Linked DNA regions of Saccharomyces cerevisiae S288C. The gene in region 2 interacts genetically with the main gene of each other region. Each region holds a gene or a part of one and is shown on either strand. Other genes may lie near its edges.

The links. A genetic interaction does not mean that the proteins touch.
Region 1: mutations in YPR159C-A (region 2) and DDR48 together harm fitness more than expected from each alone (negative genetic interaction), as found in Saccharomyces cerevisiae (one large-scale study listed by BioGRID).
Region 3: mutations in YPR159C-A (region 2) and DSF2 together harm fitness more than expected from each alone (negative genetic interaction), as found in Saccharomyces cerevisiae (one large-scale study listed by BioGRID).

What each region holds. Positions count from the first base shown.
Region 1 is NC_001145.3:605,846-610,481, reverse strand, and holds DDR48 (DNA damage-responsive protein 48), read right to left. Parts: upstream 1,794-4,636; coding exon 501-1,793; downstream 1-500. Other genes in the region: PAI3 (Pai3p), read left to right, coding at 117-323; HOT1 (Hot1p), read right to left, coding at 2,342-4,501. UniProt on the Saccharomyces cerevisiae protein: DNA damage-responsive protein that may be required for maintaining the rate of spontaneous mutagenesis. Shows low ATP and GTP hydrolysis activity.
Region 2 is NC_001148.4:858,524-863,951, forward strand, and holds YPR159C-A (uncharacterized protein), read right to left. Parts: upstream 1,893-5,428; coding exon 1,791-1,892; downstream 1-1,790. Other genes in the region: beta-glucan synthesis-associated protein KRE6, read left to right, coding at 1-1,222; GPH1 (glycogen phosphorylase), read left to right, coding at 2,783-5,428.
Region 3 is NC_001134.8:248,306-254,110, forward strand, and holds DSF2 (Dsf2p), read right to left. Parts: upstream 2,712-5,805; coding exon 501-2,711; downstream 1-500. Other genes in the region: UGA2 (succinate-semialdehyde dehydrogenase (NAD(P)(+))), read left to right, coding at 1-198; FLR1 (Flr1p), read right to left, coding at 4,258-5,805.

The DNA.
Region 1 (4,636 bases), on a different chromosome or scaffold from region 2:
CCCGGCTAGAATTATCTATATAACGGTAAAAAGAATAAAACTCTATTCTAGTTCTCGCCATTTACCTTGACTTTAATGAACCAATAAAAGAAATTTCTACAACCAAGACATCCAGAATGAATACAGACCAACAAAAAGTGAGCGAAATATTTCAGAGCTCAAAGGAAAAATTGCAGGGCGATGCAAAGGTAGTGAGTGACGCTTTTAAGAAAATGGCTAGTCAAGACAAGGACGGCAAGACTACCGATGCTGATGAAAGTGAAAAACACAACTATCAAGAGCAATACAACAAGCTCAAAGGGGCGGGGCATAAGAAGGAGTAGCTCTGTTGTCCTACTATCGATTATTTGTGCCAGCGGGCTCTGTTAGGTTGAGGGTGGAAAGTGTAGAAAAAGCAGACCTATTTGCCAGCGGATACATAGCCACAGCTCATACATAAAATTTTCATACTTAAGTCTAAACACAATAATATATTTTTTTTATCGAAGACATCCAAAAACTTAGTAATCGTCGTCACCACCGTATTGATTACGACCGCCTCTATTAGATGAACCATAAGAGTCATCATTGTTGGATGAACCGTAGTTGGAAGACCCATAGGAGTTCTTGTTTCTATTAGAGGAACCGTAAGAGTCGTCATTGTTGGAACCGTAAGAGTCATTGTTGTTGCTGGAGCCGTATGAATCATCGTTGTTGGAACCATAAGAACTCTTCTTTTTGTTAGAAGAACCGTAGGAATCATCGTTGTTAGAACCATACGAATCGTTGTTGCTGGAACCATAAGAACTCTTCTTCTTGTTGGAAGAACCATATGAATCATCATTGTTAGAGCCATAAGAATCGTCATTGTTGGAACCATAAGAACTCTTCTTCTTGTTGGAAGAACCGTAAGAGTCGTCGTTATTGGAAGATCCGTAAGAATCATCGTTGCTAGAAGAACCGTAAGAGCTCTTATTCTTGTTTGACGAACCGTAAGAGTCGTCATTGTTGGAACCGTAAGAGTCATTGTTGTTGCTGGAGCCGTACGAATCGTCATTGTTAGAACCATAAGAGCTCTTCTTCTTGTTGGAAGAACCGTAGGAATCATCGTTGTTAGAGCCATATGAATCATTGTTGTTAGAACCATATGAATCATCGTTGTTAGAACCATACGAATCGTTGTTGCTGGAACCATAAGAACTCTTCTTCTTGTTGGAAGAACCATATGAATCATCATTGTTAGAGCCATAAGAATCGTCATTGTTGGAACCGTAAGAGCTCTTATTCTTGTTTGACGAACCGTAAGAGTCGTCATTGTTGGAACCGTAAGAGTCATTGTTGTTGGAACCGTAAGAGTCATTGTTGTTGGAACCGTAAGAGTCATTGTTGTTGCTGGAGCCGTACGAATCGTCATTGTTAGAACCATAAGAGCTCTTCTTCTTGTTGGAAGAACCGTAGGAATCATCGTTGTTAGAGCCATATGAATCATTGTTGTTGGAGCCATATGAATCATTGTTGTTAGAGCCATATGAATCATTGTTGTTAGAACCATATGAATCGTTGTTATTAGAACCATATGAGTCGTTGTTGTTGGAGTCGTTGTCATTTATAGAGGTATTAGAAAATTGTTGACGAACCTTGGACTCCATCTTATCAAATCTGTCCTCTCCGATTTTGCTTTTGAATTGATTGACTCTATCTTCGCCGATCATATTCTCAGCTTTGGTAACATAATCGCCTTGATTGTTATTGCCAGAATCATTGTTGTTATTATTGCTGTTAGCAAATTGCTTCACTTTATCAAATAAACCCATTGCTGTTTTTTTCGTTCACTTATAATACCGTATATATCAGTCTATTAAAGCCCTACTCTACAAAAGAAAAAATTAATTGTAAGACATTTTCGAGAAATTCTTTTTTTATTACATAAAAATTAATGCCTTCTTATATAATGGAAAGGGGGGCGTTGTTAAATGAAATCTCAACGTGGTTGTAAGAGTTCTTGTACGACATTCTTTTCCTTTTTCCCTTTTTCGTCGGTGCCAAGCTTGTATGGCCACAGCTAAGGGGCGATTTGTCATCCTCGAACCTTCGGAGTGGTTTTTTCACCTTCCCGAAGGTTTTTAAAATCAACCACGCCAAAACTGTGGTGGGCCAGGCCAGCACCGGAAACCGCTTTGTACGCATTGATTTACGTCATATGCACCCTTCTCAGAATAAGAGATGTGTATGATTCGTACTTTTCAATCTCAAAAAGAAAACAGCACTAACGATTTTTGTAGATTTACAGAATGTATTTATGTTACACTTGTTTTTTCCTTCCTTCCTATGATTGTAAACGATTATTTACTATCGTACGTGCCTATATTCCAGCAAGGCTCTCTTGCAACCAGCCAATGGTTCTTTTCTTTACTTCGCCATCCTCATCATCTTTATATAGCCTTTTGTTCTCTAAGGTTTCTATCATCTCTTGTGCCGTTTTACCTCTCTCCATACCGTTCAGAATGAACTTGTACAATCTTTTTCGCCTTGAAAAGGTCTTCTTATTTTTATTGAGCCTCCACTTGTTACCATACTTGGCCTCAAGATGCTTGATCGATGGCTTTCCTCTTATTCCAGTATCATACTCTTCCCATATAGTCTTTACGTCAGTGGGAGCCTTCAATATCCTATAATGTAAATCAGAGTTTATGTTGGGCTTAGTAGCCGACTCGCCGTGAAGCTTTCTTCTACCGTTTAAAGAGTTACTTTTTTTATGATGCAAGCTCCTCCTCCGCTTGTTAATCGAAGCGTTCTTCATATCTGTTTCGATTTCATCATCTACTTCATCTTCCTCAGCAGTGCTGTCTTCTTCATTATCCCTTCCATCACCTTCGTCATCACCGTCATCATCATCATCCTCTTGATAGCCATCATCGTCGACATTACTTTTCACTGTCATTGGTTTTGGGTACGACGGTAGAGTAGAAGCTCTGTTTCTATTTACAATATTCGTGTTCACCCCTGACTTACCACTCGGTAACAATTCAGATGTCGTGCTATCCTGATTGATCAATTGGGAAAATGATAGAGGCTGCTGGGTATTATTTATAATAGGGGGTATAACATTTTGATTTGGGGGAAAAGAAGCGTTATCTAGGGCTAAGCTGGGCAAACTTAAAGCTGTTGTCGTGCCAAAGTTATTCAATGAATTTAAGTCATGAAATGAATTTGAAGCACTGGTGACGCCTGAATGAATGGAAGAATTGGTATAATTCATGCTAGTTGTAGAATTATGAGAATTCGTTAATGGAGATAGGGCTGATATGGGCTTTTGTGCAGCACTAGCATGGTCATTTGTGCTCGCATTGTTGTTACTTTGCGTATTTCTTCTGCGCCGTTTAATCCCATTTGGGTTCAACTTGAATGGCTTGTCAGTTGAAGCGTTCGGGAAACTAATAGGCGAGCGATTTACCTGCTGATGTGTATTTGTGTTATGAATTAAAACCTGCGACTGGTTCTGATTGGCTTGTGTGTTTATAACAGGACCAAGTTGTCGGTTAGGGAGCGATTGGTTTATATTTTGGGAAACATTATTTCGATTATGCTGCTGATCAGGTAAGATAGTATTTAGTGCGTTAGAAAATTGGTTGTTTAGCTGTGCAGTATTCGTATTCACATCTATGGTTCCATTCGTAGTCCGATGCTGGTTGATACCAGAATGGGTGTTGGAATCTCCTGTACATAAATCAGCAGTATGCTGTCTACCAGAGCCATTATTCTGCATTTTCTGCAAGTAAGCACTACTAACGGCTGATATCGAATTTAGCAATTCGATAGCAAGCTTATTTTGGGCATTGTTTGTGCTTGGGCGCGCGCTTGGCTGCGCAACCAACTTAAGTAATATATTCAATTTGTTCATAACTTTATAGTTATCTTGTTTTAGGTTTAAAACCATTGTATTCTGTTCCGCGATCTTATTAGATAACTTGTTGAAGCTTTCCTCCATCTCAATCATTCGGGCACTCATTTCGTCCATTCTTTGAAAAATCTTCAACTGATCCGTCGATATTTCGTTCGACGGTGAATCATTAGTCAAGGATTGGCTTAACATACGCCCTGTACCCGCCGTTGTCGAGTTCGAAGCGGAAACATTCGAGTTCACCCGCTCTTCATTACTCAGTTTTTCACCAATAGTTTCTGTTGGTTGACTGGTACCTGTGGGTGCTGAAATCGCTGCTGAAGTCCTCAAAAGACCTCCATCTAGTGCATTTCCATCGTTGCGAAGTGTACTGGCGTTACTGCCACTGGCGCTCTCTGAACCAGTCGTAGGCGAAATGTGAGTGGGCAGTGAGAGGTCAAGATTGATACCTATAGCATCTTCATTTACTTGACTATTCATCCTGTACCCATCCTTTAATGTAGTGGGCATCATTAAGAATAAGAAGAAAGGGCTCATCAGTGTAGAATAATCGAAGCTGATGGTTATCCTATAAATCTTTGTACGTACGATGCAAAGAATCGCAATACCCATTCCAGACATTATGCTCCAGCCATATGTACCCTAAATATAATCTTTTTTGTATATAAAAAACCTAAAAAAGAGATAACTAAACCTAGCTCAATATTTAATTTGACCTAACCCTCCGTCGGCCCTTTTTTTTTATTTTTTTCTTCG
Region 2 (5,428 bases):
AGCGAAGACAAGAGAAGCTATGGATGGCTCTAAGTGGGAATTAGTATTTTCTGATGAGTTTAATGCAGAAGGCAGAACATTTTATGATGGGGATGATCCATACTGGACAGCCCCTGATGTTCACTATGATGCTACTAAGGATTTAGAATGGTACAGTCCAGACGCTTCCACAACTGTGAACGGAACCTTGCAGCTGAGAATGGATGCCTTTAAGAACCATGGCTTATATTACAGATCAGGTATGTTGCAGAGTTGGAATAAGGTTTGTTTCACGCAGGGTGCTCTAGAAATCTCTGCAAATCTACCAAATTATGGCCGTGTTTCAGGTTTGTGGCCCGGTCTTTGGACTATGGGTAATTTAGGGAGGCCCGGTTATTTGGCTAGTACCCAAGGTGTCTGGCCTTATTCTTATGAATCGTGTGATGCTGGTATTACACCCAACCAAAGTTCCCCGGATGGTATTTCTTACTTGCCGGGACAAAAGTTAAGTATTTGTACTTGTGATGGTGAAGATCATCCGAATCAAGGTGTTGGTAGAGGAGCTCCAGAAATTGATGTTTTGGAAGGTGAAACTGATACTAAGATTGGTGTAGGTATAGCCTCTCAATCCTTGCAAATTGCACCTTTTGATATCTGGTACATGCCTGACTATGATTTTATCGAGGTTTACAATTTCACAACAACGACCATGAACACTTATGCTGGCGGTCCATTTCAACAAGCCGTATCTGCTGTCTCAACTTTGAACGTAACTTGGTATGAATTCGGTGAGTACGGTGGCTACTTTCAAAAATATGCCATTGAGTATCTGAACGATGACGACAATGGTTATATCCGTTGGTTTGTTGGTGATACTCCAACTTATACTATTCATGCTAAAGCCTTACATCCTGATGGTAATATTGGTTGGAGAAGAATCAGTAAAGAACCAATGTCGATTATTCTAAATCTGGGTATTTCCAACAATTGGGCTTATATTGATTGGCAGTATATTTTCTTCCCAGTGGTTATGTCGATTGACTATGTTAGAATATACCAACCAAGTAATGCTATATCCGTGACATGCGATCCAAGTGACTATCCAACATATGATTATATTCAATCGCACTTAAATGCATTCCAGAATGCAAACTTAACTACTTGGGAAGATGCTGGTTACACGTTCCCTAAGAATATCCTAACTGGTAAATGTACTAGCTCGAAGTTCAAGTTATCCTCTTAAGCGGGTATTTTGATGGTAAATCTACAAGCCCTCGGCTTTAATTATTACCATGGTCATAAAAAGTTACTTACAATGCATACATTTTTCTTTTAGGAAGAAATAAAATATAAAAGACTTATCGTTCAAATCGGGTCATAAAGGGAACTAAAGGTATACTAAGGTAAGACGGGGTTCTCATCTGCACGTAATTTTTTATTATTTTTAGTGAGGGAGAACTTTACCTCTAAGATTGTTTATATAGGTATACACATTTTTGTAAAACTGATTATTCGTTTTTTTTTTTGAAACAAGTTATTAGTACAAAAATCAAGCTCTCACTACTTACCAGTAGTTATTTTAGTAGAATATTATTAACTCTACCGAATAAGTACGATATGAGAAATTGCTGATTTACTTGTGTGTGTTCCTATTATTATCCAGGAGCGCCTCTAATCTATGCTTATAATTTTACGTTGAAAAAAAAGGAGTCTGTATAATTATTTCAAATTCATCCTTTTCTCACGGATATTGTGTACCCTATGAGGTAAATAATTGCGCTTTATTTTCTCCCTGTGTTTGCTCGCTCATCTTAAGACGAAAAAAGTAATGGAACACCTACCATCAATAGAAGTACCACACTCATGTAAATAACAAGCGCAAGTGGTTTAGTGGTAAAATCCAACGTTGCCATCGTTGGGCCCCCGGTTCGATTCCGGGCTTGCGCAGATTTTATTTTTTGCTCCCTTCTAAAGCTCTGGATGATTCACCAACTTATCCAAGGCAAGGTCCAACTACCGTTTCCTTCGATGAAAAAGACAATAGGTAGCTCTGTCAAACCCCGTGGAAACGCAAACTCATCGGGAGTGTCCTACTGCTTTCCACTAGTTATCCGACTAGCAAGGCAACTAGTCAAGATGAAACCGTCTCACGAACATTTGTATACGATCTCTTCTCCTGATAGACAATGAAATATACCCCGGTGCTTGTTTCCCACTAAGGAAAAAAGGCCGCTGCCCCACAGCGGGAAGGCCCTTCAAGGGGTAGCGGCATCGCCTAGTAGCACTGTGGGGGGAAGAATACAACGCTCAACGGAAGAGGAAGCTCTGCGAGATGCAGCCAGCACCTTCTATGTTTCAAGGATAACATTTTGAATTAACAAGGAACGCCTTCCCCAATTACCGTTATTGTATTTTTACTTTTTAGAGACTCTCGAGGAAATAAGTAAGGGGTGGATAATTTTCGCTAAAAAAGTTTCAGGGGAGGTTAATAACTACCATGTGCATGCTACAAAGATAAGGAAGGAACACCGACGAATATATTATATGTATAAAAGGAGCATGAAGTTTGTATAGCAGTAAAGCAAGATTCTTTGTGCCTTCCCGTTTCTTGTTGTACCTTTTGTTTTGATTACGTACGAAGTATTATAAGTTTTTTCTGCTTGCTATTGTAATATAAAGTAAGCACAGATTGAGAAGGTAACGATTACTAAAAATATCCAAAAGAAAAACAATTGGATCTTTTTTGACTTCTCTACATTACAATTTCAGTAAAGCAGCTTTCAACTTAATTTAATTTTGAACAATGCCGCCAGCTAGTACTAGTACTACCAATGATATGATAACCGAAGAACCTACTTCTCCACACCAAATCCCAAGGCTTACAAGGAGACTTACGGGGTTTCTTCCCCAAGAAATCAAGTCAATTGACACGATGATTCCTTTAAAGTCAAGAGCGTTATGGAATAAGCATCAAGTCAAAAAATTTAACAAGGCAGAAGATTTTCAAGATAGATTCATTGACCATGTGGAAACTACATTAGCACGTTCCCTATATAATTGTGATGACATGGCTGCTTATGAAGCTGCTTCGATGAGTATTCGTGACAATTTGGTCATTGACTGGAACAAAACTCAGCAGAAATTCACCACAAGAGACCCAAAGAGAGTTTACTATTTGTCTTTGGAGTTTTTGATGGGTAGGGCTTTGGATAATGCCCTGATTAATATGAAGATTGAAGATCCGGAAGACCCTGCTGCCTCAAAGGGAAAACCAAGAGAAATGATTAAAGGGGCTTTGGATGATTTAGGTTTCAAGTTAGAGGATGTCTTGGACCAAGAACCGGACGCAGGTTTAGGTAATGGTGGTCTAGGTCGTCTTGCAGCTTGCTTCGTCGACTCAATGGCAACGGAAGGCATCCCTGCCTGGGGTTATGGTCTACGTTATGAGTATGGTATCTTTGCTCAAAAGATTATTGACGGTTACCAGGTGGAAACTCCAGATTACTGGTTAAATTCTGGTAATCCATGGGAAATTGAACGTAACGAAGTGCAAATTCCTGTCACCTTTTATGGTTATGTTGATAGACCAGAAGGCGGTAAAACTACACTGAGTGCGTCACAATGGATCGGTGGGGAAAGAGTTCTTGCTGTCGCGTATGATTTCCCAGTTCCGGGTTTCAAGACTTCCAATGTAAATAACTTAAGACTATGGCAAGCAAGGCCAACAACAGAATTTGATTTTGCAAAATTCAATAATGGTGACTATAAAAACTCTGTGGCTCAGCAACAACGCGCAGAGTCTATAACCGCTGTGTTGTATCCAAACGATAACTTTGCTCAAGGTAAGGAGTTGAGGTTGAAACAGCAGTACTTCTGGTGTGCTGCATCCTTACACGACATCTTAAGAAGATTCAAAAAATCCAAGAGGCCATGGACTGAATTTCCTGACCAAGTGGCTATTCAGTTGAATGATACTCATCCAACTTTAGCCATCGTTGAATTACAGAGAGTTTTGGTCGATCTAGAAAAACTAGATTGGCACGAGGCTTGGGACATCGTGACCAAGACTTTTGCTTATACTAACCACACTGTTATGCAAGAGGCCCTGGAAAAATGGCCCGTCGGCCTCTTTGGCCATTTGCTACCCAGACATTTGGAAATTATATATGATATCAACTGGTTCTTCTTGCAAGATGTGGCCAAAAAATTCCCCAAGGATGTTGATCTTTTGTCTCGTATATCCATCATCGAAGAAAACTCTCCAGAAAGACAGATCAGAATGGCCTTTTTGGCTATTGTTGGTTCACACAAGGTTAATGGTGTTGCTGAATTGCACTCTGAATTAATCAAAACGACCATATTTAAAGATTTTGTCAAGTTCTATGGTCCATCAAAGTTTGTCAATGTCACTAACGGTATCACACCAAGGAGATGGTTGAAGCAAGCTAACCCTTCATTGGCTAAACTGATCAGTGAAACCCTTAACGATCCAACAGAGGAGTATTTGTTGGACATGGCCAAACTGACCCAGTTGGGAAAATATGTTGAAGATAAGGAGTTTTTGAAAAAATGGAACCAAGTCAAGCTTAATAATAAGATCAGATTAGTAGATTTAATCAAAAAGGAAAATGATGGAGTAGACATCATTAACAGAGAGTATTTGGACGACACCTTGTTTGATATGCAAGTTAAACGTATTCATGAATATAAGCGTCAACAGCTAAACGTCTTTGGTATTATATACCGTTACCTGGCAATGAAGAATATGCTGAAGAACGGTGCTTCGATCGAAGAAGTTGCCAAGAAATATCCACGCAAGGTTTCAATCTTTGGTGGTAAGAGTGCTCCTGGTTACTACATGGCTAAGCTGATCATAAAATTGATCAACTGTGTTGCTGACATTGTTAATAACGACGAGTCAATTGAGCATTTGTTGAAGGTTGTCTTTGTTGCTGATTATAATGTTTCTAAGGCTGAAATCATTATTCCAGCAAGTGACTTGAGTGAGCATATTTCTACTGCTGGTACTGAAGCGTCTGGTACTTCTAATATGAAGTTTGTTATGAACGGTGGTTTGATTATTGGTACTGTTGATGGTGCCAATGTGGAAATCACAAGGGAAATTGGTGAAGATAATGTCTTCTTGTTTGGTAACCTAAGTGAAAATGTCGAAGAATTGAGATACAACCATCAATACCATCCACAAGATTTACCATCTAGTTTGGATTCTGTTTTATCCTACATTGAAAGTGGACAATTTTCTCCAGAAAATCCAAATGAATTCAAACCTTTAGTCGACAGTATTAAGTACCACGGCGATTATTACCTGGTCAGTGATGACTTTGAATCCTATCTGGCCACCCATGAATTAGTGGACCAGGAGTTCCACAATCAAAGGTCAGAATGGTTAAAAAAGAGTGTCCTGAGCGTTGCAAACGTCGGCTTCTTT
Region 3 (5,805 bases), on a different chromosome or scaffold from region 2:
GTCAACACTTTATACACTGTGTCTGAAGCTTTGGAAACTGGTATGGTTTCATGTAATACAGGTGTTTTTTCGGATTGTTCTATACCATTTGGTGGTGTTAAAGAGTCAGGATTTGGAAGAGAAGGTTCGCTATATGGTATTGAAGATTACACTGTTTTGAAGACCATCACAATTGGGAATTTGCCAAACAGCATTTAAAGCAATAGTAATCGTGGACGATACTTAGAATTGAATATGATTCTTTGTAATGATTGTATATATCTATTGCATGTATAAATACTCTACTCCTCGTATATAGAAAGTTAAGTAAATTTTTTGAAAGAAAAGAGTTCATATATTTACGGAGTTTTGAAGTTTTTCACAAGCGGAATAAGTGATACCATTCATAAAATATCATATCTATCTATCTATCTATTTTTGTGAGATATATGGTACGAAAATAAATGCCTTTCCTTTTAAGCCTTTCTGTAAGCTTTTATGTATACAACGTTTCTTTATCTTTATTTCGGACCTTGTTTCATGTACTTTTCCTTATAAATCCAATCTGAACCTAATAGATTTGCACCTTTTTTATCGGCTATCCTAAACCATGCAGCAGCTCTGGCGAGATCCCTTTTCTTTACGTTTGAAGTTTTGGACCAAATTGTCCCGCTTAAGCACATTGAGTCTACATGGCCTAATAGAGCAGCTTTTTCCAAAAATTTCAAACCTTTTCGCTCGTCGGGATGATCCATCCCAAGACCCTTTAAATATGCCATACCACATTCGTACAAGGCAGGTGCTGTTGGTTCAGGCGCTATATCAGGGATATCGTCCATTGAAGCAAAATTTAACGGATTTATATCTAAATCAAGAACCTCAGCAGCAAAGGATTTGATATCAGTGGCAGCCATTAAATATCCTAATGATAATTTCAAGTTCTTGTCCACTCCGCAGCCATGTCGCAGGGCTAGTCCATATAACAGAAACGCAGTTTTGTTTCCGCACGCGCAGGCTTTTTTCAGTCGTTGTGCAGATTCTTCAAGTTTGCCTTGATGACGCATAGTAATTGCCTGTCCGATGTGTGAAGATTCATCATTATCATAAGGTTCTGGGTGAAATTTAAGCTTCCCGCACTTGCTTGTTGCGTTCGATCCTTCTTTTTTATGACTGAAGGAATCCATGCATTGCGTCGAATTATTGGGCAACATACCATCTAAAGAAAGTGTTCTTCTTCTAACTTTCGGGTGGTAGGGCTTATTTGATTGTTCTGTTAGTGCACTTAGTTCACCTATTTTTGAATCTTTTTCCGTTGTATGGAAATCCGAGAAAGTTCTCAAATGAGTCCTATTTGGACGTGCTTTACTGTTCTTTTTTTTATCCGTGGATGACTGAGGTGTTGATGCTGTTTTAAAATGGAAAACTGGGTTTGGAGGAAAAATATACCTAGCTAAATGTGGACTGGAATTATTAATGGTACTTGAAGTAGATGGAAGTTGAATATTCTCCCCAGAGAAGTCCAATGAATTGGTGGCAGACCGGATAGGGCTTGATCCTTCAGACTCAAGGTCTTTCTTATTTTTTGCTCTTGTCCTAGGAGATTTAAAAAGTTTTTTTAGCGAATTTAGTGACGTTTTTTTTTTATGAGCTTTATATGGTGGCGTTGGAGGTAATGAAATATCATTTGTCATGGTATTTGTTTTCGTTATCGTCGAGGTAGAGGAATTAGACCGTTTAGGAGATGGTTTGATGGGTGTTGTATCACTCTTAGTTAACTTGAGTTTGGAGAATGAGGATGATTCACTTTCAAAAGAAGACTGAGTTTTCGGCTTTGATAGTTGTCCAACTTCAGAAAAGGAGGTGTTGGTGCTTGTTGAACTTCCGTTCCGATAAAGACAATTACTCTTTTGCGTGGTTGTGAACTCATTGGGGCAACTCTGCTTCTCGGATATTCTGTCAGTTTTTGTAGATGTATTAATATTATTACTAGTAGTTCTGTTATTCTTACTATTAGCATTATTGTCAACGCTAGTATTATTGTCTGATATCAGCGTAGGATAAAGATGGTGCAGTCTAGTATTTTCAATCCTATATTTCTCGAAGTTGAAAGGATTAGGGCTATTTGTGCTTCTATTGCCATTTTCAAGGTTTGGGTACTTATAATCTTTCTCATTTCTATTCATTTGGGGTTTCATGCCACTAAAAGTCTCAGAGTCATAATCTTCTTCGACGATATAAGAGTATCTCGACTTCACGGGCAAATGCCTTTCCACTTTACCGGAAGAGTATTTGCCTCTCAAAGTGGAATCCTTTTCTTTTAAATTGTCTATGATAAGAGAACGATCTCTAGCTTGTATATATGTTGGAGAGGGATTAGTTCTATACCTTAATGAAGGGAATTCCGACGCAGGCATACATAATGTTGGACCACTTGTTTGTGACAGTTGCGAATTTCTCGACGCGTTTTCTTCTTCTAATAAAGCTTCTTGCAGAATCAGTTCATCTTCCAAGCTGAGGTCTAATTTGTCAAGAAGTCTTTCCGTGGTTTGAATAGATTCGAATGAAATGCTACTTTTATTTGAATGAGCATAGCTAAATTGTGAATCCATTGATGACTCGAAGCTATTATTGGGTGGTGGGCTTTGTGAAACCTCTGAAGAGTTAGCTTTTCTTTCTTGATCGTCGCTTCCTATTCGATCAGCCCAAGAAGTGTTTTTTAAATTTTGATTCATTACTTTTCGTGTGACGTAAAAGTCCGTTTGTTTTTCTAGATTTTCTGTTTTTTCTCGAGGCTCCTACAAGTTCCACCTATATTTAGCATTGAGGAACAGAATGTGCTATCGCAAAGAGCAATGGCAACAGAAAAAAAGAGTTGCTAAAGAAGAACTATTTTTGAATGTCCGTGGTAATACAATGGAAGACTACTAGAACACGATGGCAGATAAGGTGATTTGATAATCAAATTCAACGACGGTTGCACCGTTGTTCTTTCTGCCGCTCTTCGTCCGGAGCCTTCTGTGATAATTGTTTTAACGCGCAGAAACACACGCAGGCTGCGTAAAGGAATGGTGGGGCTCGAAGAAGTGACAGTGGGTGTCCACGGAATGTTCTGAGCGCAGGGATCCGGTGTTGCCATCGCACACGATATGAGACGCGTTCATTTTTTCCAGCAGTCACCTAAAAGTTCAAGAAACGCTATGTTGTAATGCAGCTGTATTGTACACTGGCTGGTATTGCCGTTCTGATCTATGACTTACTTGTTAGAGGTAATAGCTGTCTTAGATCGGCTTGCTTCTTCTGACTTCCTTCTTTTTTTTTTTTTTTTCGAAGTGAGGCATGCTGCAGTTTTGTGCAGCTTCTCTTGCATCACTTCCTGTATTATTTACGTTGTTTACATTATCAGGTATTTTGTATTATTTTTTGCGCAACAGCAAGCAAACGCAATAGCGATAAATGCCATAATATAATCAAAATTTAGCAAGGATACATAGCAGCAAACCCGAACCTTTAGGCCTCTCATAGATGAAGAAAATTTGTACAATTCTTTTGGTTCTTTGGCTCTTCAAATATGAATTTATTAAGAGGAAATCCTGAAGCATCAGAACATCGCAAACTTTTTATTCGCAAGAGGATTTATCCTCTGATTAGTTATATATGAATATGTGTTCCTTCTGCATGATTTTGATATCAATAGTATGCATTTTTTTTCGATTCGTCGTAGAAACATAGCTACTCTCATGACCAAATGACTCTTTTTGGCTTTGACAGTGGAACAGCCAAGTTTTTATGTAGAAATATATTATCTGTTAACTGGAAATGATGTCTTAGGCCCATAAAATGTGCTAGAACGTATGGCTAATCCTTTTGCTCTGTATTCAATTGAGTATTTTGCTTAATTTCTATTTGATAATTGAACTTCTTACGTGTATAAATGGTTGCATATTTCTTTAGTAAGTACTATTTTCAAATATGAGTGAAGGATATTGTGGCTCAAGTAATTCCTCTTTCTTTTTTCATCCGTATGGTAAGCAAAGGGTCACAAAGTAACCGATAGTGTGTAGACCTTAGATCTTCCTTCAAAGATTTCAAGTCTGCGATAAATAAACATGAGAATACTTGCAACAACAACTTTTATAAACAATGAAGTTCATTATGAACAGTATTTATTTCACTGCTAAACTTTACGTAAACTTATGTGGAACATCTTTGTCGACAGATGGACGATAAGTAAAATTGTGTTATTATAATTCAAATTTTCATGGTAAGAACATCGGCTTTCTACTCCTCTGTGTACGAAGATCTTGTACGTAATGATGGCCCATACTTATAAAGTATAAACGGGATAATAGCTAGACCTAAAGTTAGGAACCCCACTAAGGACGAACCCCATGCCACAGGATAGTTCTTAGTAGCTAAATTGTCATACATTGCTCTACCAAACAACGGAAAAGCACAGGCAAACGAAGCCCGACAAAAACCATTGCCTGCAAAAACGGATGCAACATACTTTGGGTAGCATGTAGCCAAATATGCAAAAGTTGCTTGGAAAATGTTAAAGACAGCTAAAACAAAAAAAACTTCCGAGATAACTGGCAAAATCCAATGCACTCGAGCAGTCCAACCAAATAAGAACAAAGACAGAGGCAGGCACCAGCAGACACACATTGCCACGATTAAAAAAGCTTCCGGGGTGAATGTGCCGTTTCTAAAACGTGGTACAATAATCCTCATGTTTAAAATACCGAATAAGCCATAAGCAAGTACGCACCCTACGCAAAACCCCATATAGGCCAAGCCAACTTCAACTAAGCTGAAGTGGTATATACCTACAAATACAATAGGGAATGCTTCAAAGAATAAGTAGAAACAACCATAAGCAACAGCGATATAGAGATCAAAAGCCAAAATTGCAGGCTCTTTGATAATCATTTTGAGAGGCCTATACAAAGTATTGATCAAAAAAGTTCTTGCATCAACTTCTCTATCGAGTTTATCCTGTTCAGTATAGTACCTGTCATCACCAGTTTCTTTTCTCAATTTCAAAGCACGGCGGTACAAAATATTATGGTGTTGTGTTTCAGGGAAGAAAAATGCCAACAAGATAAAAGTGGCAGCACTTAACCACATTAATAACCAAAATATGAATCGCCAATTTTTAGCATCGACCATAGCAGCGCCTAGTAAGGGAGCCAAGACTGGCGCAGCAACAGCACCGGCTGACCACATACCTAAAACGAGAGGAACCATTTCTGGTGAAATGATATCAGCCACTGTACCGCCACCAGTGGCCAACGATGGGCTGCACAGTATGCCACTGATGAAACGCATGACGATTAAACCGCCGATGTTATGCACAGTAGCACAACCAACTTGAAAGATCATGAAAAAAAATAAAGTCACCATGTACAGATTTAGACGGCCATAGCGTGCAGTTTCTGATAGCGGTGAAAAAATGATGGGACCTAGACCATAACCAAGAACATATAAAGAAAGATTTAATGTTGCCACTACATGACCAACGTGGAACTCTTCTTGAATATATTCCTGGCCAGGTGTGTAAATGGAGGATCCCATGTACGTGACGCAAGTAAGTAACATTATTTGGAATACTACCAATGATTTTTTCAGTAGGGGCCAGTTTTGTGGGTTCTCAGGATCACTGGGGCCGTTCCAATCCACCCTGAAAGGATCATTTTTTTCGATCTGTGAACCACTAGAGTCTGAATCGGTAGAGGATTCAGAGCACGATCTATTAGGACCGCATTCTATATCATAGTCGGGTTTACATTCTTTTTTATCGGTATTCTCGGGTTTTCTTGTTTCATC